4 linked regions of the Anolis sagrei genome follow. The protein of the gene in region 3 purifies or fractionates together with the protein of the main gene of each other region. This does not show direct contact. Links are inferred from orthologs where the notes say so. Each region holds a gene or a part of one and is shown on either strand. Other genes may lie near its edges. The genes, in order: GOSR2, STX7, BET1 and GOSR1.

Region 1 (7,848 bases), about 56 Mb from region 3:
TGACTTCTCTCGATCTAGACACTATACTCTCATTGATGCAGCCTTGAATCTCATTGAATTTTTGGCTGCCACATCGTAGAGGTAAATATAAGGAGAGGCGTAACAGATGAAATGGAAGGGCCGACATATGCAGACTTACATCTGAATAAACATGAGGTTGGGATTTGTTTCTGAGCAGGGATACAACTGAACCCACTTAAGGCAGCAATCCTCTGAAACTCCACTGGTCACATGAACATTTTCTCATGACATTTAAAACAAGTGCTTTGCCATTAAACCGTGGTCCTCAATCATCAGCCAACCCACATATGATTGCCTTGCAGATGCCCCAAGTCCCTCTTCTATTCCACATGGCCATTCATTGAAAGTTGGAACTCAAAACAGATGGACTTCATTTTTTTCTCAGGCCCCTTCTACACTGCCATATAAAATCCAGATTATCTGCTTTGAACTGGATTATATGGCAGTGTAGACATATAATCCAGTTCAAAGCAGATAATGTGGATCACTTGCTTTGATAATCTGGATTATATGGCAGTGCAGAAGGGGCCTCAGTAACTTCATTTTGCTGAGCCTCTCTTCCTCACCCTGCAATGTGGAAGTAATACTTATTTCACAGGGATATAATAGAGGGTTGTGGATATGTAATGATATATAAATTGCAGGTATTATTATTATGACAACTTCTATAGCTACTGCTGCCATCGCCATATGCCACAAAATATTTCTTTCTTTCTTTCTTTCTTTCTTTCGTTTTATTAATCGCTATAACTATCCTCTGTAAATGAAACCCTTCAGGTAGTTCACCCTGCTGCCATCTGTCCAACTTATTACAGATAGCTTGAGTATCCCTTATCCAAAATGCTTGGAACCAGAAGTGCTTGGGATTTTGGATGTATTTCAGATTTTGGCATGCCTGTACTTGCATGTACAGACAATCCCCGAACTACAAATATCCAAGTTACATACAACTCATAGTTAAGAACGGGGATCAGACAACAGGAAATGAGAGACATCTACCTCTAGGAAGGGAAATTCACTCTTCAAAGAGAAAATGGGGAATAGGTATTTCTACTGAAGCTTTATCTCCAAACCTTGTTTCCACAACAAGACAATTCTTTCAAAAAACAAATATCACAGGGACAGAAAGTAAGGGGAAATCTTCTGAACAGGGGCACAGACAGCAATACAAACACCACGGGGGTGTTAACCCTTCCCTATGCTATTCAAAGTGCATGTACAGAGTTACTGTTCTGATTTCCATACAAATTCAATTTAAGAATAAACCTGTAGAACATATCTTGTTCATAACTTGGGGACTGTCTCATGAATTGCTGTAGCCATTCTCCATAAATGCAACCCTTCAGGTGGCTTGCCACCTACCCAATTTCTTTACACACTGCTTGAGTATCTCTTATCCAACATGCTTTGAGATCAGAAGTGTTTTGACTTTCAGATTTTGGCATACCTGGACTCACCTATATACATCCATAATGTATTGGGAAATACACTGGGGGATGGGACCCAAATCTAAGCATGAAATTGATGTATGTGTCATGGGCCCCTTTTACACTGCCATATAACCAGATTATCAAAGCAGATAATCCACATTATCTCCTTTGAACTGGATATGAATCTACACTGCCACATAATCCAGATTATCAAAGCAGAGAAGTCAAATTATCTGCTTTGAAGTGGATGATGAGTCTACACTGCCATATAATCTAGATCAGGGGTCCTCAAACTAAGGCCCAGGGGCCAGATATGGCTCTCCAAGGTCACTTACCCGGCCCTCGCTCAGGGTCAATCTAAATCTGAAACAACTTGAAAGCACACAACAACAACAACAATCCTATCTCATCAGCCAAAAACAGGCCCACACTTCCCACTGAAATACTAATAAGTTTATATTTTTTAAAATGTTCTTCATTTTAATTATTGTATTATTTCTAAGCGTTTTTGGCGCTACACATAAGGTATGTGCAGTGTGCATAGGAATTCATTCATGTTTTTTTCAAATTATAATCTGGCCCTCCAATAGTTTGAGGGACTGTGACCTGGCCCTCTGTTTAAAAAGTCTGAGGACTTCTGATCTAGATTATCAAAGCTGACAATCCACATTATCTGGTTTGAACTGGATATGAGTCTACACTGCCATATAATTTAGACTGTAAAAGTAGATAATCCACATTATCTGCTTTGATCTGGATATGAGTCTACATTGATATATAATCCAGACTGTCAAATTAGATAATCCACATTATCTGCTTTGAACTAGATGATACAAGTCTACACTGCCGTATAATCCAAATTATCAAAGCAGAGAATCCACATTATCTGCTTTGAACAGGATATGAGTCTACACTGCCATATAATCCAGACTGTCAAAGTAGATAATCCACTTTATCTTCTTTGATCTGGAGGACATGAGTCTACATTGATATATAATCCAGACTGTCAAATTAGATAATCCACATTATCTGCTTTGAACTGGATGATACAAGTCTACATTGCCATATAATCCAGATTATCAAAGCAGAGAATCCACATTATCTGCTTTGAACAGGATATGAGTGTACACTGTCATATAATCCAGACTGTCAAAGTAGATAATCCACATTATTTGCTTTGAGCTGGTCTATATGAGTCTACATTGCCATATAATCCTGTTCAAAGCAGATAATCTGGATTTTATATGACAGTGTAGAAGAAGCCCTAAACACCTTACACATTTACCTTCATTTTATATATATATATTCGGCATTTTTAATAATGTTGTGTATGGAAGTCTGCAGACACTGACCCATCAGCCACTCTCCCAGCCCTCCCCCATGTGGAGAATTTTGGGTTTGGGGCTCCTTAGGAGGAAGGATGCTCAAACCCTGCCAACCCCCTTCTCCTTCTCCCTCCCCTTCCCCAATCCCAAGATATTTCACGGGTTAGACCCAAAGCACGCACTTATTCGTCTGGTGGTAAAGCGCTTCCATCGTGGCAGGTCCCTCAGCCTGGACTCTACTCTCCAAGCGCGCTTTAACACGTCAACTTCTCTCTCAGAGGCCGGCGCTTCCGGTTTCCGGTTTGCTAAAGGCCCTCTCGTGACGTCGCCCAACCCAAGCTAGCCGTCTATGCCACTGCCTGAGCAGAAGAGCAAAACAGAGCAGGAGAAGAAAGAGGAATGTAGTCGCGCTTTGGTTTAGGAGGGGGTCGGAGTGGGGTGGCTTTGCATACAGAATTAATCTATGTTATTCTGCTCTAAAGGATTTTTTAAATCTCTAGGTATGTTTTTTATCCATTGAAAATGGAATAGAAATGAAAATAACAAGGATAAAATCATGATGAGGATGAGGATGATGAGCATCTCTTGTCCAAAGTGCTTGGGACCAGAATTGTTTTCAATTTTCCGAATATTGTTGAATTTGGATTTTGGAATGTCTGCACTTGCATGTATAATATTATTTATTATAATATTATTTAGTATATATTTATTATATATTATTTTGTTGTTCATTCGTTCAGTCGTCTCCGACTCTTCGTGACCTCATGGACCAGTCCACGCCAGAGCTCCCTGTCGGCCATCACCACCCCCAGCTCCTTCAAGGTCAGTCCAGTCACTTCAAGGATGCCATCCATCCATCTTGCCCTTGGTCGGCCCCTCTTCCTTTTGCCTTCCACTTTCCCCAGCATAATTGGCTTCTCTAGGCTTTGCTGTCTCCTCATGATGTGGCCAAAGTACTTCAACTTTGTCTCTAGTATCCTTCCCTCCAATGAGCAGTCGGGCTTTATTTCCTGGAGGATGGACTGGTTGGATCTTCTCACAGTCCAAGGCACTCTCAGCACTTTCCTCCAGCACCACAGTTCAAAAGCATCGATCTTCCTTCGCTCAGCCTTCCCTAAGGTCCAGCTCTCACATCCGTAGGTTACTACAGGGAATACCATGGCTTTGACTATGTGGATCTTTGTTGCCAGTGTGATGTCTCTACTCTTTACTATTTTATCGAGACTGGACATTGCTCTCCTCCCAAGAAGTAAACGTCTTCTGATTTCCTGGCCACAGTCTGCATCTGCAGTAATCTTTGCACCTAGAAATACAAAGACTGTCAGGGCCTCCACATTTTCTCCCCCTATTTTCCACTTGTCAATCATTCTTGTTGCCATAATCTTGGTTTTTTTGATGTTTAGCTGCAACCCGGCTTTTGCGCTTTCTTCTTTCACCTTGATTAGAAGGCTCCTCAGCTCCTCCTCGCTTTTGGCCATCAGAATGGTGTCATCTGCATATCTGAGGTTGTTAATGTTTCTTCCAGCAATTTTCACCCCAGCCTTGCATTCATCAACCCCCGCACATCGCATGATGTGTTCTGCATACAAGTAAAAAAGGTTGGGTGAGAGTATGCAGCCTTGCCGTACGCCTTTCCCAATCCTGAGTCTGTTGTTCCGTGGTCAGTTCTTACTGTTGCTACTTGGTCCTTGTACATTACATTACATTATACATTGTACATTGTACATTGTACATTGCATTACATTATAATATTATAAATACAAATAGATAATATTATATATATATATATATATATATATATATAGTATAATATTATCTATTTGTATTTATAATATTATAATGTAATGCAATATAATACTACTAGCAATAATATGATATTATAATTATATATTTATATTACATGTAATATTACTAATCTATATAAATAAAAATGTAATGTTCGTTTGTGGGATTAACAGAACTCAAAAACCACTGGACAAATTGACACCGATTTTGGACACAAGACACCTAACAACCCAATGTATGTCCTTCACTCAAAAAAAAAATGATTTTGTCATTTGGGAGTTGCGGTTGCTGGGATTTATAGTTCACCTACAATCAAAGAGCATTCTGAACTCCACCAATGATGGAATTGAACCAATATTGGCACAAAGAACTCCAGTGACAAACAGAGAATACTGGAAGGATTTGGTGGCCATTGACCTTGAGTTTGGGAGTTGTAGTTCACCTGCATCCAGAGAGCACTGTGCACTCAAACAATGATGGATCTGGACCAAACTTGGCACGGATATTCCATATGCCCAAATATGAACACAGATGGAGTTTGGGAGAAATAGACCTTGGCATTTGGGAGTTGTAGTTACTGGGATTCACCTACAATCAAAGAGCATTCTGAACCCCACCAACGACAGAATTGGGCCAAAACATTCAACACAGAACCCCCATGACAAACAGAAAATATTTTGTTTTCTAGTTGTCTTTGGCAACCTTTCCGACACCCTCTCGTGACCCCCCCCCCAGGGGTCCCAACCCCCAGGTTGAGAAATGCTGCCTTAAGGCCATCCAGTCCACCTCCCTTCACCAGGGTAAGAAAACATAATTAAATCCCTTCTGACAGAGCCATCCAGCCATAGATATAGATAGAAAGATATGGTTCACACACACATCCACACACACACACACAGGGACCCCTAAAGAAGGCCTTCTGTGATTTTACTGGGAAAGAAAGGTGACTTGTATGACAGGAAGAGAGGGAAGATGGGAAAAGCCACAAAGAGAGGCTCTCTCAGAGCTGGAGAAGGGAGAAAGTGGAGGGAGGAAGAAAGAAAAAGGGAAGCAAGAAAGGAAGAGAAAGGAAAGTGAAAGGCACGAGGAAAGGAAAGAAAGAGAAAGACAGGATTAAAGCTGGGGGAGACGTCCCTCTGACACCCGGGCAACGCCAGGTACATATGCTGGTAGCAAAATAATTATCATTTCCTACATTTATTGTCTAACATAAAAAAATGGGGGGGGGGGGGAGAGAGAGAGATCATTTAATGTATTGTCGAAGGCTTTCACAGCCGTTAACATTGGGATGCTGTGTGGTTTCTAGGCTTTATGGTAGTGTTGTAGCAGCCTTTTCTCCCGATGTTTCACCTGCAGCTGTGTCTGGCATCTTCAGAGGATCACTTCTTTTACCACCATCAGATCTTCTGAAAATGCCAGCCACAGATGCAGGTGAAACTTCAGGAGAAAGGCTGCTAGAACACAGCCATACAGCCTGGAAACCACACAATACCCCAATGATCATTTAGTACACTTCTGATCCATACTTCTTGAGTGGGCTGATTATTTGGGTGATCCAGATCTGCTTGATCGTTTTAGGTTAGAAGCTCAGCCCTCCTGGTTTAATCCAGACAGAAGCATCCCTGAACGGTTGCTATGAATAGTTCCAGGGGAACCAAGAGAAAGTTGTGGAGGAGGTGTTATAAAGAGAAACTTTTGATAGTAACTTTTATTAAGCCACAATTACAATTCCATCCTTGAAGTGAGGCAATTGGAGATCCACATTACATGCATTAATTTGTCTTTTTCTCCATGTAACTACACCTGTGGTCCCCTCAGGACCTCCATGATATCAAAAGAAAAATGGAAAACAAAGATCAGGAATGGCAATACTTGTACTGTGTGAAATGGGACTGAGAAGGGGAAAATTGTGGCAGACTTTTGGAGACACTGATTGGCCACTCGGTTGCGAATGGCGGATATAAATATCATATGGAATATTTTTACATGTGTACAGACTACATTTTGCCTGAATTGAGAGGTTGGAGCAAGTCACCATCTTTTCATGCTCTGCTTGGGATTTCCTGGAGAGACATTTGGCTGGCAGCTATTGAAAAATGCTCTTAAAAATTTGGTGGAGCTTTGATCTGATCCAGCAAGGCAGTTTCTATGTGCACGATGTCTTGTGAGAGCCTAAAATACTAAGTCATTTCAAAATGCTTTCTTGGTATTTCAGTAATCTTAAGATAATTGCCTTTGAGGAAATAACATAGCATGACCTTCAACTGCTAATAGATTAAAGTGAAACGTGCTTCTAATTATTCAGCTACAGGTCAATCTGAGGACTTTCCAAATTTGCAGGAAATTACCTTTCCACTAATGTTACCAACTTTACATTTCTTGGTCAGCTCCTCCTTCTCCCACCAACTTTTCCCATCCTGTTCCCCTCCCTGACTGAGGTTTGAGAGCCCCTGAGAAATTGTTTTTCTGGTCTTGAAGTAATATTACTTTATATTGATTACTTCGAGCTCAGCCCCAATGCTCTTGTTGTGTGCCTTCAAGTCATTTCCAACTTGTGGTAACCCTAATGTGAACCTATCATGGGATTTTCCTGGGCTGAAAGTAGCTTGCCAAAGATCACCCAGTGGGTTTACCAAATAGATAATTGAACCCTGGTCTCCAAAGTTGTAACCCAAACTACTACGTCATGTTGTCATAATACCCTATCTAAATATTAAATTAGTGGATGAATTATGGATATTATAGAGCAGAATATGAAAGAGTTGCAAGATGTTCCCATGAGTACAAACCCTTTTACTTCCTTTATTTAGTTCTTGGTATTTTAGTCAATAAAGTCTATACATATGATGGAAAAACAGTAAGGAAAGAATGACATCATTTATAGGAATCTAATGAATGTATCAAGGACTCCAAGGTCACATCACAATTACTACTAACACTCCTTTTCACACCAGGCAAACAGTGCTTCCAGATGGACATCTCCTACATCAACTTGCCATTTCTCAAGTCGCTCCTGACACGATAAAAAAATATCCTACATCACTAGTATGATGTGATCAAAAGACAAGGAAGAGGTAGAAAAGGTTGAGGAGGATAAGACATTATCTGGCACTGTAAAATTCCACGTCTGAAATAGGATCTTGACTGACAAAAGGCCCATACAAAACATCTTAAGTTCCTCTTTGGCTAGGGGACAAATTCAGCTGAACAATAATCTTTTACTACAGGGATAGTAGTAAAATAATCTTTTACTACGAGGATAGTTGATGCATATATCTACGGCTAAG
Region 2 (7,374 bases), on a different chromosome or scaffold from region 3:
GAGGAGCGTGCTTTTGCCGTTGAGGCCTACTTTTCGAGCAGATTTGGAGTGGCCAGCCCGCTCTCTAGATTTGGCCCCTTGTGATTTTTTTCTATGGGGTTTTTTGAAATCCCGTGTTTATGTGAACCATCCAAGGACCATACAAGATTTGAAGACCAACATCCAGGAAGAAATTGCCAACATAACGCCTGCTATTAAATCATGACAAACGCCAGAAATCATTTTACTCAGTTTAGTGTATGGAGAATGGGGGATGTCACCTACCTAATTTGATCTTCAAAACTACGTAAAACAAAACTTTAGGTAAGCGCCTACATTATAAAAATAAAAATTTCTGATTCATACAATGGGTTTGATTAAGTTTTGAAAAAAGGAAGTTATGCTGCCTCACCCTGTAGATACGACAAATGAATTACAATTGAAATTTTGCACAGCAGAGAGAGAGAGAGAGAGAGAGAGAGAGAGGTGTGCCTTCAAATTACCTATCACACAAATTGCATATTTTCTCAAGCAAGAAATACTCAAAGGTGGTTTTGCCAGTTCTTTCCTTTAAAACAGTAGCTCCCAACCTGTGATCTGTGCACCACCAGTGGTCCGCAAGAACAGAAATATGATCCACAGCCTCACTGTTAGTACACCAGGTTTTTGTAAGTCTTTCAGTATCTATGGCCATGTTCCAGAAGCATTCTCTCCTGACGTTTCATCGGCATCTACGGTTGTGAGGTCCTCAGAGACCCCACAACCTGGGAGGGTGCCTGCCATAGATGCAGGCAAAACATTAGGAGAGAATGATTCTGGAGCATGACCATACAGCCTGAAAAAACCTTATAAAAACCCAGTGATTCCGGCCATGAAAGCCTTTGACAATACATTGTTACTACACCGTTGCAATGAGAGTGACTGATATCGCAAAACCCTCTTATAGTGCCAAGGCTTATTAAATATGGTTTTCTATGTGTCATGCCCCAGCATGCATCTGTGATACTATGTTTGCTTTGTAGTTTGGCCCACTTGACTTTCTATAGTCAGAATACTGTGGGTGAGCAAATGGCGACTACTGGATGGCATATTTATTTATTATTTATTTGCTTTATTTCTATACCGCATTTTTCAGCCCTTAACAGGCGACTCAATGCGGTTTACATGGTACAATTATCAAACAGTGTCAGTGCAATTAAAACATAACAATGCAACAAACAGGATCAACAGCATCAATCCACAACAGTTAACAATCAACAAGACAGATCAACAAAACAGACATAACATAACACCTCAGTTGAAATCAGATCCGTTCTCATAATCCTTGTGCCATTCCTATGTTCCATTTACCGTCTTCCTATGATTGGTTGCACTGCTTAACCAAACGCTTGTTCATAAAGCCAGGTCTTAACCATTCTCCGAAACGTCAGCAGCGAAGGTGCCTGTCTGATGTCTGCCGGTAGGGCATTCCATAGCCGAGGGGCCACCACTGAGAAGGCCCTGTCTCTCGTCCCCGCCAAGCGCGCCTGTAACGCAGGCGGGATCGAGAGCAGGGCCTCCCCAGACGATCTTAATGTTCTGGTCGGCATACGTTCAGACGATCTTAATGTTCAGCATATGTTCTGTATCAGAAACTAGAACTGATGGGGTCTATCCAATGCGATCTAAAGTTGACCAAAACAGATTCATAACCCTTTTAATACTAATGTTGAAAGGTGGATCCTGGTCAAAGTGGTCCCAGGTAAAAAAAAAAAAGGTTGGGAACCACTGATCTAAACCCTCTGAGGCACGGATACCATTGTTTTCCATAGGAAGGAGTAATCATGCATTTCTATAAATAGGGATGGCAGCTCTCTGCTAAGTACAATATTATAACTGGAACAAACCACTAAAGGAAAACTACCCTTCCATCTATTCTCCAATGCCACTATTATGCTATATTATGCTGTAATATTTTGTAAAAAAAATTCAAGGGGAGGAGTTATTATGCTCTTCCCTAAAGAGGGATGACAGCTCGCTGCTAAGGACAGAATGGAAAGAGATTCTGGCAGGTTTGCATGAAGAAAAAAAGCTGGGAGTGGAGACATATCATTGTCTAAGTGTGATGCGGAAGCATTGCCTCCGAAAGATCCTACAAATCTCATGGGAAGACAGGTGGACAAATGTCAGTGTGCTGGAAGAAGCAAAAACCACCAGCATTGAGGTGATGGTCCTCCGCCATCAACTCCACTGGACCCGCCATTGTTCGAATGTCTGACCACCATCTCCCAAAGCAGTTGCTCTACTCCAAACTCAAGAATGGAAAACAGAATGAGCGTGGGCAGGAAAAGAGATTTAAAGATGGGCTCAAAGCCAACCTTAAAACCTTGGTAATAGTATGAAAGCTGGGTCGGGAAGCTCTGAGCCTTACGCTGTTTCCGCTTCGCTCCTGTTTGCACAATGCAGAACGGAACACAGATATAGAAGGAATGTAAGAATTCTTTAATGGTAAAGCCCTAACCCTAAACCCGGCCCTTAACCCTTATCCTAACCCAAACCCCAATCCTAACCCATCCTAACCTTACCCAGAGGTGGCCCTAAATAATTTTCAACGGTAAGCAAACAGTATTTTTGCCCCCCCCCCCCAACCAATCAGATATATATTTTCTGTTCGTCGTGGGAGTTCTGTGTGCCATATTTGGTTCAATTCCATTATTGGTGGAGTTCAGAATGCTCTTTGATTTTAGGTGAACTATACATCCCAGTAACTACAACCCACATATGTCAAGGTCCATTTCCTCCCAAGAGCGCCTCAAGAGCACCCCTGGGCAAAATCAACTATACTGTAAATGCTTACTTTGCGTAATGGGTTGAGCCACCCCTGTCCTTACCCTAAACCTAAGCCTAATTCTAACCCAAACCCTAAACCTTAATCCTAACCCTCCCCTCCTTTCTATCCTTCCACCAAATTAAAGTATGTTCCCGCCCTCAGTGTGCCGCTCTCCCCTTCCCTTATTCACAACCGCTATTGCGGAATGTGCGTAACGCTCGGCACTTCCGGACCTAGCTATCATACTATCACCACAAACTCTGGCATAGACAGTGAGAAGTGGGAAGCCCTGGCCCTTGAGCGCTCCAGCTGGAGCTCAGCTGTGACCAGCAGTGCTGTAGAATTTGAAGAGGCACACATGGAGGGCAAAAGAGAGAAACGTGCCAAGAGGAAGGTGCATCAAGCCAACCCCGACCGGGACTGCCTTCCACCTGGAAACCAATGCCCTCACTGTGGGAGAAGATGCAGATCAAGATTAGGGCTCCATAGTTACCTACGGACCCACCGTCAGTACACCGATATTGGAAGACAATCCTACTCGGACTAGGAAGGATCGCCTAAGTAAGTAAGTAAGTAAGTCTCAAGACTGCTGTATGATTTTTTTTTTTTTGTCGCATCAGGAGCGACCTGAGAAACTGCAAGTGGCTTCTGGTGTGAGAGAATTTGCCGTCTGCAAGGACGGTTGCGCAGGGGACCGGCCAATTTGATGTTTTTATCATCCTTGTGGGAGGCTTTGCTCATGTCCCCGCATGGAGCTGATAGAGGGAGCTCATGCGCCTCTCCCCGGATTCGAACCTGCAACCTGTCGGACTTCAGTCCTGCCAGCACAGGGGTTTAACCCACTGCGCCACCGGGGGCTCTGCTGTCTGATAAGGTCCTTGGAGGCGTTTATGAGGCAGTCCTCCGATTAGTGCCTAATCACACTAGGGCTGAAAACAGAGCACGCATCCCATCTGAAATCCTGTGCCTGCCTTCTTTCCCAGAGAATTCTGGGGCTTGTAGTTTAGTGAGGCTGGCTGAGCATTTTAAAGGTCCCTCCTCTGAACTACAAGCCCCAAGAGGAAGCCACAGGACTTCAGACGGTGAAAAGAAGGCACTGCACGATCCCTCCAATGGCGACGCGGCGCTGTGTAGAGTCAGCGGAAAGGCCGGGAGTGGGCGGGGCCAGGCAGCGCCCCTCCCTTTGGTGCGGCAGCGAGTGGGCGGAGCTTGGCCGAGGGGCGTGGTCACCCGGGCTGATCAGCTGAGCGCCAGAGAGCTGGAGCCCGGAACCCGGCTCGCCCGATGGGGACGCGGTGCTGAGCGGGGCTGAGAGGTAAGGGCGGCCTCCCTCCCTCCCTCCCTCCCGCTTGCCCGAATGCAGCTCTGGCAGAGACTCCTCTCTCCCTTGTTTGTTGGAATGACTGCTTGCCTGCCTAGAGGGGGCGGAGGAGGGAGGCGCCAGCCCGCATTCCTCCTTCCTTCCTTCCTTCCTTCCTTCCTTCCTTCCTTCCTTCCTTCCTTCCTTCCCTTCCCTTCCCTTCCCTTCCCTTCCCTTCCCTTCCCTCCTTCCGTCTTTTCCCCTCTCCCCCTTATTTCTGTCTCTCTTTCCCCTCCCCTCTTCCCTCCTTTCTTTCCTTCCTTTCCTCTCCCTCCTTTGCTTCCTTCCCCGCCCTTTCCTTCTTCTTCCCTTTCCTCTTCTCCTTCCTGCCTTTCCTCTGCAGCAACACGCCCCTCCCTGTGTGTTTGTGTGCGAATGGTGGAGCCTGCCCAGGGATGGGAGGGTGGCACATGATGCCAGCCATGGAAAACAAGGCTTCCTTTCTGGTGTCTCCTCCCTCTCCTCCTGGGTGGAGCCATCATGTGACCGTGATGAGAAGGAATCACGGCTTCTCCACGGAGGCACCCCGCAACCCCGTCGGATTAAGGGGAATGGCATTAGGCCGGGGAGAATGCGTGTCTTTGCAGGCGTGACACGCTCAGAGGGAGCAATGCAGCCGGGACACGTGATGGTGGCGTGTGGGCAGCCACTGCTTCCACTTGGGCATTCCTTCTGGGGGGAATCGCCTCAGGAGGGGCGCGGATTGTGTTGTTGTTGTTATTGGGCGTGTGTAGGCTTCCTTACATCCTTCTCTTCTGTGTTTTGGATTTCCATTCTTTGTGGATGAATGTAACTGGCTAATAATAAGTACTAGTGTACCTGCCAGGCGTTGCTGTGGCCAACCTTCCCTCCCTCTTTCTTTCTTTCCTTCCTTCCCTTTTTTTCCTTTCCTTCTCTCCTTCCTTCATTCTCAATCTCTTTCCTTCTTTCCCCCTTTTTATTTCCCTTCTTTTTTCTCTTTCTTCCTTCACTACCTCTTTCTCTCCTTCACTCTTTGCCTCCATCCTTCTCTCTTCCCCCCCCCCTTTCTTTCTCTCCTTTCTTCCCTCCCTCTTTCCTTCCTTCCTTTTTTCCTGTCCTTCCTTCCTTCTCTACTTCTTGCTTGGGAAGCGAGCCTTGCAGGGAGTCATTTTTGGTCATGTGCTGTAATGTGTTTTTTTGTTGGGGTGGGGGTGGGGGTTAAGTCCTTTCCACTGTGTGTTTTTTGTTTTGTTTTTAGGAGTGATGGTCACTCGTTGGCCTGATAGGTGTATTGTGTCCAAATTTGATGTCAATTCATCCAGTGGTTTTTGCATTATGTTAATCCCACAAACTATCATTACATTTTTATTTATATAGATTATTGGGTTGCTGTGAGTTTTCTGGGCTGTATAGCCATGTTCCAGAGGTATTCTTTCCTGACGTTTTGCCAACATCAATGGCAGCTCACAACCTCTGAGGATGCCTGCCATAGATGTAGGTGAAATGTCAGGAGAGAATGCTTCTGAGACCTGGCCATACAGCCCAGAAAACTCACAGTGACCCAGTGATTCCAGCCATGAAAGCCTTCAATAACACAATAATTTATTTATTTATTTAGAGCATTTCTATCCCGTCCTTCTCAACCTCCAAAGAGGGACTCAGGACGCCTTCCAACAGGCCACTATTTAGTGCTGACACAACAAAACATAGCATAAAATACAGTTATATACATTAAACAATTATAAATATACATTAGAAAGTTCAAGTGAAGATCGTCGTAATATAATACAATAATTATTATATTTTATACCGTGTTTTCCTCTCTTAAATGAGACTCAAAACAGCCCACAACATTTAAAATAGTACATTGATTATCCCAGGCCTCTTCTACACTGCCAGGTAATCCACATTATGTGCTTTGAACTAGATTTATTGATATTTATCATGTCACAAGTGAATTGAGGGCACAATTGAAATGTATTTAAAAGACAAACAAAGTTAAAAACTTGGCATTATGCTAAATGTCCTTTCACCAGTAGCTGGCCACTTGGAGTACTTCTGGTGTCACTATAAGAACATCCTACATCATGCATGTGGCAGGGCTCAGGTTGCTTTGTACTAAGTGGTCTGTGGTTTTCTCTCCTCCACACTTGCATGTCGTGGACTCACTCCCATATAATCCAGTTCAAAGCAGATAATCTGGATTTTATATGGCCGTGAAGAAGGTGCTCCAGTGATATAGAATCATAGGCTTGGAAGAGACCTCAGGGACCATCCAGTCCAATCTTGCCATGCAGGAAAACATAATCAAAGCACCCCCAACAGATCCCCATCCAGAGAAGGAGACTATATTATTGATTGTGATTCAGTATTTTATGGTAAATATGTATAAAACGGTTTGCCACGTGTTTTCTCTTTTTCCTGTAAGAAAATAAGGGGTCAGGAGTGATTGCTTTTTAGAGATGAATGAAGTACACTTTGAGCATCCCTTATCTGGAATTTCAGAATCTGAAATGCTCTACAATTGGTCATGTAGGTGTCTGGGATAGTGACACCTTTGATTTCTTCAGTGTACACAAACTTTGTTTTAGTGCATAAAAATATTTAAAATATTGTTTAAAGTTACCTTCAGGCTGTGTGTATAAGGCAGGTATGGGCAAACTTCAGCCCTCCCTCCAGGTGTTTTAGACTTCAACTCCCACAATTCCTAACAGCCTACCAGCGGTTAGGAATTGTGGGAGTTGAAGTCCAAAACACCTGCCTAGAGGGCTGAAGTTTGCCCATACCTGGTATAAGGTATATATAAAACATAAATGAATTTAGCATTTAGGCATGGATCTCATTTCTGAGAGATCTCATGTATGTGTGTGCAAATCCAAAAAATCCAAAGCTCTTCTTGTCCTGAGCATCTCAGATATGGGATGCTCAACCTGCACTTATCTGCACACCACATAGTTAATATGGATATTTCTGCCACATAATAATGACAGTTTTTAGAAGAACATGGGACAAATTGAAACAAGATAAACTGGCAGCGAATATTATTTTTGGTGAGTATGTGTTCCCTCCAGTCCTGAGTTGAGCTGTTGGAACACAGTATGACTGCTAGGTTGCTATTCCAGTCAAAACTGCCTTGAGGGCTTCTCATAGGCATTTGGTTGTCAATTCTGTAGATAGCCCTTATATTCTTAAGTTGAGGGCGAAAGAGTGAAGACAAAGTCACCTCTTTCCTCAGCAGTTATTCTTTATCAGCATGCAACATACA
Region 3 (7,552 bases):
GAAGAGAAATCCCTGGTTGTACTGAACAATCCAGATTATAAAAAAGGAATATACTTTTCGACTTCAAACATGTCCATAATCTCACCTTGGATTGTTTTACTGTGTTGTTTTAGTGCTGGGCTATGAGTTTGATTTTCTGCTTGGCCATTGAGTGACCTTGGGTGACCAACACACTCTCAGTATTGGAAAATCACATGATCGGGTCACCATAAGCCAGAAATGGCTTTGAAGGCACACAACAATCACAGGAAGGAAATAGATGAGCACTAAAGGGAGCATTTTATCCTAGTGAGCAGACCCCAATGATTTATGTGATTGCAATTAGCAGCTTCTATTGTGCAGGTACAACTGTACCAGGAGCTCCAATTTTGTTTGCTTTGCATTGAATGTTTGTTGTAGTCCTAAGTTTCAGGGACTCTGCAGATAGGTAGCTTCATAGGGCAAGCCACCTGTCAATTATAGTTAGGTTCCCTGGTCCCGCCCCCTTTTGGGGTTTTTGGAGGGAATAGGTGCCATTTTGGGTTCAGTCCATACAGAGAAGCCTTTCATGCAGGACATAAAACCAAGAGCTCCTGTAGAAAGCTTCGTCTTCTACAGCTTGGCCGGGGAGAAAGGTCCCATAGCTTGGCCGAGGATTATACAGCCTTACAGCTCCTTTGCTGAGGGAGTTCAGCCAGCCATCACTGAAACCTGAACTCCTTTTTCCTCTGGAAGTCTACAAAGCTCTGCTTGGTAAGGGTCACTCGTGGAAGCCAAAAGCAGTTGGTACCGGGTGCAGGGGCTCCACGCCAACAGAGGCAAAGACAGACTGACCAGATTAGAAGTTAAGCATTTCCCCATTAATTAGTATACAGTTATGAAGATAGTGCCTGTTCCCTGTGGACAAGATTGAGAGAGCCAATAAACTGTTAAGAAAGCCTTAAAGTACCTGTTTGTTTTCAATAATAAAGAACTTTGTTGAACCTTTAAGCAATCTAAAGATTCTGTCTTAAGGAAATCCAAGGGCCTTTAATCTGAGGCAGCCCCGGCGTCCCATTGGGCACACAGAATTTATGTCCTGTCTACAGTCTTATGCACAGGTCCAGCGTGCAACAGCACATCTATTAATACAGCTGTAAGTAGTTAAATTTATTTATCATATCAGAAGCAAACCAAGGGCACAGTTGTAATGTATTTTTAAAAAATGCAAAGTTTAAAAACTTGGCATTATATTAAATGTCCTTTGGCCAGTAGCTGGCCACTTGGAGTGACTCTGGTGTGGCTATAAGGAGATCCTCCATTGTGCATGTTGCAGTGCTCAAACTGCATTGTAATAGGTGGTCTGTGGTTTGCTCTTCTCCACACTCACATGTTGTGAACTCCACCTTAAAGCCCCATTTCGAAAGACTGGCTCTGATCTTGTCGTACCAGAGCATAGACTTCCAAGTTACCCAGTCTTTTGTGTGTCCAGAAGGGAGAGAGTAGATAAATGAATAGGAGGGAAGCTAAAACCTACACAATTCCCTTTTGGAGAACCGCTAGCACATGTTTCAAGGGAATGTACTCTTTCTTTCATGCTGCTGATATAGTGGATTGTGCTTATAAAAATTCTCAGCCATTATCTAATTATTATGATGGATCACCCATTAACTACCAAGACTTCCTTCTGAAAGCCATCTTTTTTATATAAAAAAACTAACTGACTGCAGATTTAGATTCAAATGCCTAAAAGCCCAGGATAACAGCTTGGTTGCTCACTAATGATGTCAGGCAACATCTGTAAGATCACGGGAGGAAACAGACGGTGAAGAACAGTCATTAAAAACCTTACACTTTAAAAAAAGTGGAAAAAGCCCCAAGAGCAGGCATAAAATGTATATAAATCCATAAAGTGTTTTCTTAAAGGGGACAGCTTCAGCTCTGTACAATTATGTATGCATTTGCTTTATTTTTATCCCGCTTTTCTCAAAGTGGCTCACAATAACTATTTGAAAATGCTAATTAAAACTAACGTGATTGCATTAAAATATAAATATATAATTATTTATTAAAGCTTTCTACCAACCTTAAAACCCCAACCACTCTTTTTAAAAAACCCATCCCTTATCAGTTTATAATTATCACTTTATAAATGCCTAAACTGTTGAGCTGCTAAACCTGATGACCGAAAGGTTGGGGGTTCGAATCCAGGGAATGGAGTGAGCTCTTGCTGTTAGCCACAGCTTCTGCCAATCTAGCAGTTCGAAAACAGGTAACGGTGCTCCATGCAGTCATGCTGGCCACATGACCTTAGGCCAATTGGATTTGTTGCAGATGGCTAGGACGGTTTTAAATTGTGTTATTTTAAATGGTGTATTTTAATATTTAGATAAATGTTTTTTAATGTTTATGTTTTGGACCCAGGCATTGAATGTTTGCCATGTATATGTTGTGCTCCGCTCTGAGTCCCCTTCGGGGTGAGAAGGGCGGAATATAAGTGTTTTAAATAAATAAATAAATAAATACAGACAATTGGTTTAGAAATGGAGGTAAACACTCCCTACACGCAACCCCCAGAGTCAGACACGACTAGACTTAACATCAAGGTGAAACCTTTACCTTTTGCTTAATGGTAGAGGAATACTTTCAGGTTCAACCATGTAAATGGAAGAGCCAAAATCAAACTGGACATATTAATTGCATGGATTAGCTTAGTATTGTATATGCTCTGGTTTTATTTTGTTGTAATTTGTTGTCCGGGCTTGGCCTCATGTAAGCCGCTCCGAGTCCCCATTGGGGAGATGGTGGCGGGGTATAAATAAAGTTTATTATTATTATTATTATTATTATTAGTCTTATGAATGAAATAAGAGTCAATAGGAGTTTCAGAGGGAATTTCTCCAGAAATGTGGACAGCATTGCAGAGATATTTGGAGGTGCTCTTTCTTTCAAAATATACACAGGCAGTCCTCAAGTTAAGAACGAGATGGGTTTGTTCTTAAATTCAATTTGTATGTAAGTTGGAACATTTATAAAGTATAATTCCACGCACGCACACACACACATATATCTATAGAGTTTGTTTTGCTGCCTATGACCTTGTTCAGAAGATTCCACCTCACTTTCTGTCCCCATGATAATTGGATTTTGAAAAATGTGGCAGAATAGAGGTGTAGCATGACTTTCCTGGATCTAGACAGTATACTCCTATTGATGCAGGCCAAAATCCCATTGGCTTTTTTTTTTTTTTTTGCCGCTGCATCACATTGTTGGTTCATGTTTAACTTGTTGTCCACGAGGAATTCAAGATCTTTTTCACACCTACTGCTCTCGAACCACGCGTCCCACATTCTGTATCTTTGCATTTCATTTTTTCTGCCTAAGTGGAGTATCTTGCATTTGTCACTGTTGAACTTCATTTTGTTAGTTTTCGCCAATCGTATCTTTAATTTGTTACGCTCGTTTTGAATTCTGCTCCTGTCTTCTGGAGTATTGGTTGTTGTTGTTCATTTATTCATTCAGTCGCTTCCGACGCTTCGTGACCTCATGGACTTGAGCTCCCTGTTGGCCGTCACCACCCCCATCTCCTTCAAGGTCAAGCCAGTCACTTCAAGGATGCCATCCACCCATCTTGCCCTTGGTCGGCCCCTCTTCCTTTTTCCTTCCATATTCCCCAGCATCATTGTCTTCTCTAAGCTTTCCTGTCTTCTCATGATGTGGCCCAAGTAATTCATACTGGAGTATTGGCTTTGTTGTTCATTCGTTCAGTCGTCTCCGACTCTTTGTGACCTCATGGACCAGCCCACGCCAGAGCTCTCTGCCGGCCGTCACCACCCCCAGCTCCTTCAAGGTCAGTCCAGTCACTTCAAGGATGCCATCCATCCATCTTGTCCTTGGTCGGCCCCTCTTCCTTTTGCCTTCCATTTTCCCCAGCATAATTGTCTTCTCTAGGCTTATTGGCTATCCCTCCCAATTTATAAATCACATAGGCCAAAAAGAATAATAATCCCTTTTCTTTTTTTAGTAAGAGTGGCTTTACTTTGAAGTGAGGATGACAGAAAAGGGAAAAATGAGTTCCCCACTCAAAACAATTCAAGACCCAATCTGTGCTAGCTTGAGTCAGCAGAAGCACTCATTCAAGCAAAGACTACATTACCCAGGAGCATCTGCGGCTGAGGGTTCTCTCTCTCTCTCTTCCTGTTTTCGCTTTGCCGGGACTACGCTACCCAGAAGCTCTCGCGAGAGCCAGCTCATTCAGGAAGTGTTGCGGCGCCGGCTCCAGCGCTGTCGTGGCCTTTGTGGGGTGATCGGAAGGGGAGTTCGTGGTGAGGCCTTGGCCCCTGGGATCCGCGGGAGAAGAGGCCTTTCCCCTCTATCCATCCCTCGCTTTCCTTGGCGAGCCGTCATGAGGAGGGCCGGGCTGGGTGAGTGAGGACGGGGGGCTTCTTTCCCGCCCTGCTTTAAGGGGGGCTGCCAAGGAGAAGAAGGGGAGGGACTCTCCTGAAGGCCCAAGACAAGGCAGGCAGCACCACAGAGAGAGCTTTGGGACACACACACACATACATATAAGTGTCAGATTATATATATCAGGCTTGGGCAAACTTCGTCCCTCCAGGTGTTTTTAACCTCAACTCCCACAATTTCTAACAGTTGGGTTGCTGTAAGTTTTTCTGGCTGTATGGCCATGTTCCAGAAGCATTCTCTCCTGACGTTTCGCCCAGTGATTCTGTCCACGAAGGCCTTTAACAACACAGCCAGCAGGTTGTTATGAATTGTGGGAGTTGAAGTTCAAAACACCTAGAGGGAGGAAGTTTGCCCATGCCTGATATATATGCATAGGTAATGTGTGTTTATATAATATTGATGTAGATAACATCTTCATGTGTGTATGTATACACACACATTATATATACATATACATACACAAATTTATTACCTATATATAAATAATATAATAATACACTTGATTTATAACCTGCTACCATCTCCCCAATGGGGACTCGGTGAAGCTAACATGAGGCCAAGCCCAAAATAATACAGCATAATAAACACACAGTAACAAAATACATCATAACAAAATATAAAATAACAAAACCAACAACATAAAACAGCATATTAAAACCAGACACGGAGGGTGGGCCAAATATGTGAGGTAAAATGTTTAAAAAGTTAAAACCCTGGGTGAGATAGGGATAAAAGTGCATTAGTAGGAAAGGAGCCCAACAGGGAGAAACCATGGGATTTAGCCATTTTAGGGGGTGGGGGGAGGAGAGATGCTTTTTTCTGAGGGCAGCTGTAGACTAAGACAACCAGATGGGTTGAATGGTCATTCTCCAAAAGCACAATGGAAGAGCCAGGTTTTTAGGTCTTTCTTAAAACCAGCTAGGGTGGGGGCTTGCCTGATCTTCTTAGGCAGTGAATTCCAAAAGTGGCGGGGCCTCAGCGGAAAGGCCCTCTCCCTTGTTCCCATAAGACGAGTCTGTGATAGAAGAAGGGGCGAGAGAAGGGCCTCTTCAGCGGATCGAAGAGATCGTGCATGTTTGTGGTAGGAGATGTAGTCACAAAGGTAGGTGGGTCCCAAACCGTTCAGGGCTTTGTAGGTAATAACCTGCACCTTGAATACATATTAAACACACACATTGTATATGAAAACACACTTATGTATCTATATCTATATACACAAACTATCTATCTATTCACATATAGAATCATAGAATTGGAAGAGAGCTCATGGGCCATCCAGTCCAGCCCCCTGCCAAGAAGCATATACATATAGATGCATTCATACATAAATGCATTAACACTTAACTCTTGGAATGATTCCATAAGCTCTGCTTCCAAAAATTCCTTCAAATATCTTGGGAAGATAGGTGAACAAATGTCAGTGTGCTGGAAGAAGTGAAGACTGCCAGCACTGAAGCGATGATTGTCCACCATCAACTCCTTGTCCAAATACCTGATCACCATCTCCCAAAGTGGTTACTGTACTCGGAAGATTGGTGGACAGGAAATGAGATTTAAAGATGGGCTTAAAGCCAGCCTTAAAAACTGTGGTATAGACACTGAGAACTGGGAAGCCCTGGCCCTTGAGCACTCTAACTGGAGGTCAGCTGTGACCAGTAGTGCTGCAGAATTCAAAGAGGTATGAATGAAGGGCGAAAGAGAAATGCGCCAAGAGGAAGGCGTGTCAAGTCAACTCTGACTGGGACCACCTTCCATCTGGAAAATGATGCCCTCACTGTGGAAGAATATGCGGCTCAAGAGTAGGTCTCCACAGCCACCTACAGGCCCACCACTAAGACACAACACTTGGAAGGCCATCATACTTGGACATGAGTGATCATTGATGATGACACTTTTATATATATAAAATACACACACACACATACACACACACCTACATGTGCACACACATTTTATACACACACACATATATATTCACATATATCTACATGTACACAAATAACATATACACACATCTGTATGTACACATACCTTATATATACACACAGAGACAATTTATGTGCAATATATACATACATACATAAACATGCATTATATACACACATCTACATGCACACATACATTATATACATACACACATATTTACATAAACATGCATTACATATTATGTAAACTCATATATGTATGCATAATTTATAATATGCATGTATGCACACACATATATATGTATTTATCTACACACATAAACATACATTATATATACACACATAATTTTATGTATACATAAACACATATATGCATGTGTATGCATGTATTCTCTCTTTTAAGAGAAAAGTAGCATATTAATAAATGTAACTATTGCCATATATACACACATACATATAAAAATTGATTTCCTACCTATCTGAACTACAGTGACCCTCAACCAATAAGCCTAGGTGTAGAAGAAGTCCACAAATAGGGTTTTATATGAAGAGGCTGCAACCTTATTTCACTTCCGGTATTCAAAGCAATTCCTTGCCTTCTTTAAGATATAGATGGGAAACCTTAATCCCTGGGGTATGGTAGCCAGTTCAGATCATCCCAAACCCTGAGGCTTCCATGGCAAAACCTGAAACCTGGGGTGCATTTGGACTGTAGAACTAATGCTGTTTGACATAATTTGAACTGCCATGTCTCATGCTATGGCATCATGGGAGTTGTAGTTTGATCAGGTCTTTAGCCCTCTCTGCCAAAGAGTGCTGGTGCGTCACCAACCAAAAATCTCATGATTCCATCTCATAGTGCCATGGCAATGAAAGTGCTGTCAAATCGCATTAATTCTACAGTGATAATAAACCCTTAGGAAGGCTTTCAGTCAATGTTACTTAATTAGCATATGCTTTCAATGTTTTATTCATAACATTCACAAATTATATTCAAGGTGTCCTCAAAGTATATATAACCTTTAATCACTATTAATAACTAGGATGATGATTTGAAGAATAAGTAAATTTATTTATGTTGAAGAATAAATGTTATTATATTTAATCAGAGGTGATGGGCTCGTAACCTTAATGGAGAAAGTATTGTAACATAACATTTATTTTTCAGTAGAGATATATTTTCTTAGTCTTCAAATAATCACCAT
Region 4 (7,987 bases), on a different chromosome or scaffold from region 3:
TATTTATAATATTATAATGTAATGCAATATACTACTACTATTACTACTACTACTAATAATACCATATTATAATTATATATTTATATTACATGTAATATTACTAATAATATTACAATATAATGGTATAGTACAATATAGTAATATTTAATACTGATATTGTACTATTTATTTATTTATTTAAAACATTTATATTCCGCCCTTCTCACCCCGAAGGGGACTCAGGGCGGAGCACAGCATATATACGGCAAACATTCAATGCCGGGACACCAATTCTTATATACGTACATAAACATTAAAAACATTTATCAAAATATTAAAATACATCATTTATTTTGACGTCATCCACGTCAAATCTAATTGGCCTGGTAATCTTTCCTATTGCTGCTTTATTGCCCTGTCCCGAAAGCTTGGTCCCACCAGGAAGGGAGTTCCATAGCCGGGGAGCAATCACCGAGAAGGCCTTGTCTCTTCCCCACCAATGGTGCCTGTGACAATTGCGGGATGGAAAGCAGGGCCTCCCCAGAGGATCTTAATCTCCACGATGGTTCATAGGGAGAGATCCGTTTGGACTATGTTAATAATATAATATTGTATGTATATATACCTTGTAAGCTGATCTGAGTCCCCTTCAGGGTGAGAAGGGCGGCATATAAATGTTGTAAATAAATAAATAAATAAATAAATGGGGGGGGGGGTTAGGGCCTTTTGAAGGGGTCTTTATCACCTGTTTGGGGGTGTTATGGACAGAATATAAATGTTTTAAATAACATTAAATATTGGTCTAGGTGCCAATAAAAGCATCATCAGCATGAGTTGAAGGGGGTTTAAGGCCTTCTAATGGGGTTTTAATGCCAATGTAAGGTTTTCATTTCATTTCATTTCTTTGACTTGTATACTGCCACTCCTAATTTGGCTCGGAGCGGTTTACAGCAGTAGATTAAAACAATACAACCAACTTTAAAATACAATAAAAACGAGAACCGACATAGTCCCGAGTTATTCACCCATCGAAAACTTGTTGGAAAAGAAAGGTTTTACAGGCTTTCCGAAAAGTAAGTAGCTCTAGGATGGTTCGGGTTTCAACTGGCAAGGCATTCCATAAATAAGGGGCCACAATCGAGAAGGCTCTCTGCCTAGTAGAGGACAGATGATAAGTCCGGATGTTGGGGACTTCAAGCAAATTTTGGTCCTCGGACCAAAGTAATCTCTGGGGTTGGTAGGGGGATAAGCGGGCCCTCAGGTATGCCGGCCCCAGACCATATAAGGCCTTAAAGGTTAGTACCAGCACCTTGAAAGTAATCCAGTACTCAATCGGAAGCCAGTGCAGCTGTTGTAGAATTGGGGTGATACGACACCTCACTGGCACCCTGGCGAGAAGACGAGCCGTCGCATTTTGCACCAGCTTCAGTTTTTGGATCACTGACGAAGGAAGGCCAATGTAGAGGGCGTTACAGTAGTCAAGCCTCGAGATGACCGTCGCCTGGATCGCCATAACCAGGTCGTTCCTAAATAGGAAGGGAGCCAGTTGCCTAGCCTGACATAGGTGGAAAAACGCAGATCTGCTCACAGCAGAGACCTGGGCCTCCATTGTGAGCAGAGGGTCCAATAAGACACCAAGGCTTTTTACAGAAGGTGACAGACGTAGTGTCTCGCCATCCAGGGTAGGCAGCTGGATCTCCCACCCAGACGGCCCAGCCAAAGGATCTCCCTCTTCGCTGGATTCACCCTCACGCAACCATCCAGTAACAGCCTCAAGGCACTGATGGAAATTTTCGGGTCCGGAGTCCGGAGTATGGTTTGTGGCACTTGTCTGATGGTTGCCGGGTCTTCTGAATGAGTCTAGTGCCAATGTAAGGACTTTTAGCATTCATTTAGCAGGGTTTAATGCATTTCTATGGGGTTCAGTGCCAATGCAAGGCTCTGTAGCCTCCATGTAGGGAGTTTCAGGACCTTCTGAAGGGGCCTAGTGCCAATGGAAGTGTCTTAAGCACCTGTTTGGGGATTTCTGGGCCTTCTGAATGGGTGTAGTGCTAATTTATTTATTTATTTACTTTGCTTTGTTTCTCAGCCCGTAGGCGACTCAACGCGGTTCACAAGAGCAAAAGTCAATCATAACAACATACAATTTAAAAACCATTAACAGCATAGCATACAAAGTAATGACATATTAATAACAACACATTAACGTCTCATAACTAGAGTCGTGATCCAATTCGTCAGCTATAATTCCGTTCCTATATTCATCATATTCATTGTGCTGCTTATCCGAATGCCTGTTCAAACAGCCAGGTTTTTAGTTTTCTTCGAAACACCATTAGCGAAGGAGCTGATCTAATGTCCATGGGAAGGGCGTAAGACTTTTAGCATTCATTTAGCGGGGTTTATGGCACCCCAGTGGCGTAGTGGGTTAAAGCGCTGAGCTGCTGAGCTTGTTGACAGAAAGGTTGCAGGTTTGATTCCAGGGAGCGGCGTGAGCATCCGGTGTCAGCCCTAGCTTCTGCCAACCTAGCAGTTCGAAAACATGCAAATGTGAGTAGATCAATAGGTACTGCTCTGGTGCGAAGGTAACGGCGCTGCATGCAGTCATGCCCATGGCCACATGACCTTGGAGGTGTCTATGGACAACGCCGGCTCTTTGGTTTAGAAATGGAGGTGAGCACCACCCCCCAGAGTCAGACATGACTGGACTTAATGTCAGGGGGAAAAGTCATCTTTGTATGGCTTTTATATGGGGTTTAGTGCCAATGCAAGGGTCTGTAGCCCCTATTTTGGTAATTTCAGGACCTTCTGAAGGGGCCTAGTGCCAAAGGAAGTGTCTTCAGCACCTGTTTGGGGGTTTCAGGGCCTTTTGAAGGAGTTGAGTGCCAAAGGAAGGACTGTCGGCCTTCTCTGAGTGGAGTTTTGGGCATTTCTATGGGGTCCAGTGCCAATGGAAAGGCTTCGAGGCCTTTGGAGGGGCTTCGGTGCCAAGGCAAGGCTCCTTGGCGCTCTCCCGCCTGCCTCCTTCCTCGGCCTCCCCTCGTTCCCCGCTCCCCAAACGGGGCCTTCCCCCCAACAGCCCGCTCACCTTCCCAGTAGTTGCTGCTCCCACTGCTACCGCCTCCGCCTCCCGCCGCCATCTTTGTTGTGTCCAACGTCAGCCGCGCCATAGAGCGAGTACGGCCAGAGCGCCGCCCGCAGCTTCCTTCCGGTCGGAGGCTAGGCTTCTATTCTAAGGGAGCATAGAGGGCGCGCTAGAGCGGCCGGCATCCAAACATTCCGCAGCGACACCTAGCGGCTGGAGGCCAGGCCCAACCCAATTGTTTCCCTTTTAGCTTTCTTAATTGAAAGCAAGATATATGGCTCGACTATATATATATGTATACGGATATGTGTATATATGTGTATACGGTATATGTGTATGCATATGTATGTGTTTATATAAGTGTGCGTGTTTATATGTACATGTGTGTATATGTATGTACAGGTATGTGTGTATGCATATATACACATATACATACACATATATACATATACATACATTTATTTATTTATTTACATATACATGCATATGTATATGTGCATGTGTATGTACATGTGTGTATACATATATGCACATATCCATTCACACATATACACATACATACATTTATTATTTATTTACGTATACATACTTATACATATGTATGTATATGTTTGGGGTTTTACATATACATACATACATTTACATATACATACATATGTATATGTGTGTATATGTATGTACCTTTATGTGTGTATACATATATACATTCACATATATACACATACATACATTTATTATATATTTACATATACATATGTGTATATGTATGTACATGTATGAGATTTAAAGATGGGCAGGAAAAGAAATGTAAAGATGGGCTCAAAGCCAACCTTAAAAACTCTGGCATAGACACTGAGAACTGGGAAGCCCTGGCCATTGAGCGCTCCAGATGGAGGTCAGCTGTGACCAGCAGTGCTGCAGAATTCGAGGAGGCAGGAGTGGAGGGTGAAAGAGAGAAATGTGCCAGGAGGAAGGCGCGTCAAGCCAACCCCAACTGGGACCGCCTTCCACCTGGAAACCAATGCCCTCACTGTGGGAGAAGATGTAGAGCAAGAATAGGGCTCCACAGCCACATACGGACCCACAAGGAAACCCATGATGGAAGACCATCTTACTCGTCCAACGAGGGATCGCCTAAGTAAGTAAGTAACATGTATGTGTGTATACATATATACACATATATATTCACATATATACATTTATTTATTTATTTACATATACATACATATACATCTATATATGATTATATATATATGTGTGTGTGTATATATATATAGGTTATTGACACGATCAATACCCTAATAATATTATAGTATAATGTTATAGTACAATATAGTAATATATAATATTAATATTATGCTATGGAAATAATAGAATATATTGTATTTACATTTTGCTTCTAAACTGCTCTGAGTCCCCTTTGGGGAGAGAAGGGTGGCATATAAATGTCGTAAATAAATAAAATACATGCATATAAATATTAGTTTACATATATACTCTGGGGGGGTCACAAGGGGGTGTCAGAGGGATCGCCAAAGACCATCAGAAAACAGTGTTTTCTCTTGGTCATGGGGGTTTTGTGTGGGAAGTTTGGCCCAATTCTACCATTGGTGGAGTTCAGAATGCTCTTTGATTGTAGGTGCACTATAAATCCCGGCAACTATAACTCCCAAATGTTAAGGTCAATTTCCCCAAACTCCACCAGTATTCGCATTTGGGCATATTGAGTATTCGTGCTAAGTTTTGTCCAGATCCATCATTGTTTGAGTCTACATTGCTCTCTGGACGTAGGTGAACTACAACTCCAAAACTCAAGGTCAATGCCCACCAAGCCCTTCCAGTATTTTCTGTTGGTCATGGGAGTTCTGTGTACCATGTTTGGTTCAATTCCATCATTGGTGGAGTTCAGAATGCACTTTGGTTGTGGGTGAAGTATAAATCCTAACAACTACAACTCCCAAATAACAAAATCAATCCCCTCCAAACCCCACCAGTATTCAAATGTGGGTGTATCGGGTATTTGTGCCAAATTTGGTCCAGTGAATTAAAATGCATCCTGCATGTCAGATATTTACATGACGATTCTGAACAGTAGCAAAATTACAGTTATGACGTAGGAACAAAAATGATGTTATGGTTGGGTGGTCACTACAACATGAAGAACTGTATTAAGGGGTCGTGCCATTAAGAAGGTTGAGAAACACTGTTTTAGAGAGTGGTCTGGGAGGGTTTTTTTTTTCAGCAGCCAAGATGGGCAGCGATCAAGGAAGCGAATTGTCCACACCTTTGTACTCAACAATTGAGACTGATCCAGTGTAATCCCACTCACAGAGTTGCTCGACACCTCATCGTTGGCCTCTCTCCAATGACAGCATCAAAATCAACTCTTATATGAGACATTTTTCACTGTGAAATGGTCATGAAAAGCATCACATACTGAAGGTTCAAATAAAGAGTATAGAAGGGAGAGCACCCAAGTTAAACCTTACAGTTTGTTTTGCTGTAAGTATTGCCAACTTATAGGAGCAGAGTTGCCCTCTAGACAGTGTTTTGCTGCATAAAACAAGTCGATGTCTTTCCCCTTTCATTTTCCCAAGGATCTCTGTATACCAGAAAGCCTGATTTGTAAATGATCAGAGAGGTTTGGAAGCAATCGTGTCAGTAACCCTGGTTAGATTTGGTTCCACTTATTGACCAGGGTTTCAACAGGATTGTCAATGGTGATGCCAGCCACAGAACCCCTAAAAACCTCTTGGAATCTCAAAGGATCAATTAGCCTTTGAAGGCTGTCCCTTTTAGTAGGTCCTCCATCTCTGCAGGGGAAGGTTGAAGCTGTGATACTAGCCTTGACCGGAAAGTGATCTGTCCATGACAACTTGAAGGAATCACCTCCACCCAGAGATCCATATGTTCGAAGCTGAAAATCTATTATATATGTATATTTCTATATATAGGTATATAGGTTCTACACACACAGACTAGTTACATATGTGTGTGTGTATAGGTTCCATATACAGATGAGTTTCATCTATGTATGTGTGTGTGTGTGTGTATATATCGTACACACATATATATTGGGAGGGAAAGAGAGAGTATACAGGTGTGTGTGTGTATATATATGTATATATATGCGTGTGTGTTACATATATATACCCACATATAATAGTGTATGCATAATGTTATATATAAGTCTATTATGTATGCATAATGTTATATATAAATATATGTAGGTTCTGTCTATATACAAACAACTATTATACTTGTTTACAGGTTATATATAGATATATGGTTTCATATACATGTGTATGGGAATTATGTTTGCAGGTTATATTTATATATAGAGAGAGAGAGAAAGAGGGAGAGGGGTTACATATGTATATACACAATATATATAGCTTATATGTCTGTTATATACAAACACTATTATAAATGTATACAGGATATATAGTTTCCTCCCCCCCCTCATACACACACACACACACCCCCCTATACAGATATAAGTTCTATGTGTAGGTTCCATACGTGCACACACACACACACACACACATTATATATGTGTCTGTGTTATATACAAACACTATTATAAATGTATATAGGTTATATATAGTTTCTCTCCTCTCTCTATATATATACCTAGATATAGGTTCTATGTGTAGGTTCCACACACACACACACACACATATTATAAATGTATAGAAGTTATATAGTTTCTCTCTCTCTATAGATCTATATATACTTATATAAATATAGGTTCTATATGTAGGTTCCATTATAGAAGTTCAATATACTCAAACATTGCTTCCTGCTCAAAATTATTAGAAATATTGTGTAAACCATGGACTAATGAGTTGCTTACCTGTAACTCTGTATTTTTTTTTAGTGGTAGTCTGTGAATTTGCTCATATGAATCACATATGGGTTATCAGCTGTGCATGCGCAGAAGATAACCCATATCTGACCCATATGTGTGTCTTTCACAGACTCCACAAAGAAGAATTCAGGTGTATATGAATAATCTCCTTTTTAGGTCCCATTTCCTGGGGATCTAAGGATGTACTCCAAATCCAAAAGGGTATCCTCCATGTGCATATTTGTCTCCGTGTAGAAGCGCTTACATGATGTAAACATAATGAACATGGAGGTTTTTGTGCACTTTGGAGAGCGGCAACAAAAAGTGCGCCTCACATAAGGTTTAATGACTTAAATGCCAAGGCACACTCTCTCAGCCTCAAAGGAAGCCATCACGAACGAAGCAAACCAGACACAGGGAGGGGAGACCTCATAAAATAGCTTTATACAGATTAGAGCTCAGTGTACATGTTAAAAAAACACACCCACGCGCGCACACATGCCAAATGCACTCGGCTTGGGCAGAAAGAGAGCCACAAAACGAGGCGTTTGCTTTGGAAAAGGCACGGACCCCAACATAAAATGAAAAGAAAGACGGCCGTCAGTGAGAAGGCTTTTACACCAGGCCTGGTTCCCTTTACAAAAATAGACATCTCTGGCAAACGCTTCCCAGAAGAGAAGGGCTGCTTAGGATCGGGATGAAGAAAAAGCTCCTTGAAAGCAAGTTAAGAGCAAGACAGAAAAGGATTCAGTGGGGAGGAACTGAAACTGTTATTCTCATGTCAGATCAATCATTGGAAGCAAAAAGTCCGAGAGAACGACTACTAAATTTTGCAAATTTAGTACAGTAGAGTCTCACTTATCCGATATAAACAGGCTGGCAGAACGTCGGATAAACGAAATGTCGGATAATAGGGAGTCTCTGACTGTTACCTGTCCGACGCAGTGCTAGACACCTAAAATACTAACGACGGAGACTCAAAGGATTAAGGCAAGGCAACGCCTCAGGGCTAGAGGGCCCAGCAGGAAGTGCCCAGATGCAGAAGAGCGTGGAAATCACAGAAGGAAGGAGGG

Evidence for each region.
Region 1: the proteins of BET1 (region 3) and GOSR2 purify together in Homo sapiens (affinity purification with mass spectrometry; 3 studies listed by BioGRID and IntAct, with this or other methods). This does not show direct contact. The link is inferred for Anolis sagrei from reciprocal best matches to the Homo sapiens genes BET1 and GOSR2.
Region 2: the proteins of BET1 (region 3) and STX7 purify together in Homo sapiens (affinity purification with mass spectrometry; 3 studies listed by BioGRID and IntAct, with this or other methods). This does not show direct contact. The link is inferred for Anolis sagrei from reciprocal best matches to the Homo sapiens genes BET1 and STX7.
Region 4: the proteins of BET1 (region 3) and GOSR1 purify together in Homo sapiens (affinity purification with mass spectrometry; 3 studies listed by BioGRID and IntAct, with this or other methods). This does not show direct contact. The link is inferred for Anolis sagrei from reciprocal best matches to the Homo sapiens genes BET1 and GOSR1.

What each region holds. Positions count from the first base shown.
Region 1 is NC_090026.1:45,855,769-45,863,616, forward strand, and holds the start of GOSR2 (Golgi SNAP receptor complex member 2), read right to left. Parts: upstream 3,071-7,848; 5' UTR 2,988-3,070; coding exon 2,959-2,987; intron 1-2,958. UniProt on the Homo sapiens protein: Involved in transport of proteins from the cis/medial-Golgi to the trans-Golgi network.
Region 2 is NC_090021.1:81,872,429-81,879,802, forward strand, and holds the start of STX7 (syntaxin-7), read left to right. Parts: upstream 1-3,987; 5' UTR 3,988-4,103; intron 4,104-4,680; exon of another isoform or gene 4,681-4,874; intron 4,875-7,374. UniProt on the Homo sapiens protein: May be involved in protein trafficking from the plasma membrane to the early endosome (EE) as well as in homotypic fusion of endocytic organelles. Mediates the endocytic trafficking from early endosomes to late endosomes and lysosomes.
Region 3 is NC_090026.1:101,765,315-101,772,866, forward strand, and holds the start of BET1 (BET1 homolog), read left to right. Parts: upstream 1-4,169; 5' UTR 4,170-4,363; coding exon 4,364-4,382; intron 4,383-7,552. UniProt on the Homo sapiens protein: Required for vesicular transport from the ER to the Golgi complex. Functions as a SNARE involved in the docking process of ER-derived vesicles with the cis-Golgi membrane.
Region 4 is NC_090031.1:28,938,936-28,946,922, reverse strand, and holds the start of GOSR1 (Golgi SNAP receptor complex member 1), read right to left. Parts: upstream 3,189-7,987; 5' UTR 3,150-3,188; coding exon 3,068-3,149; intron 1-3,067. UniProt on the Homo sapiens protein: Involved in transport from the ER to the Golgi apparatus as well as in intra-Golgi transport. It belongs to a super-family of proteins called t-SNAREs or soluble NSF (N-ethylmaleimide-sensitive factor) attachment protein receptor.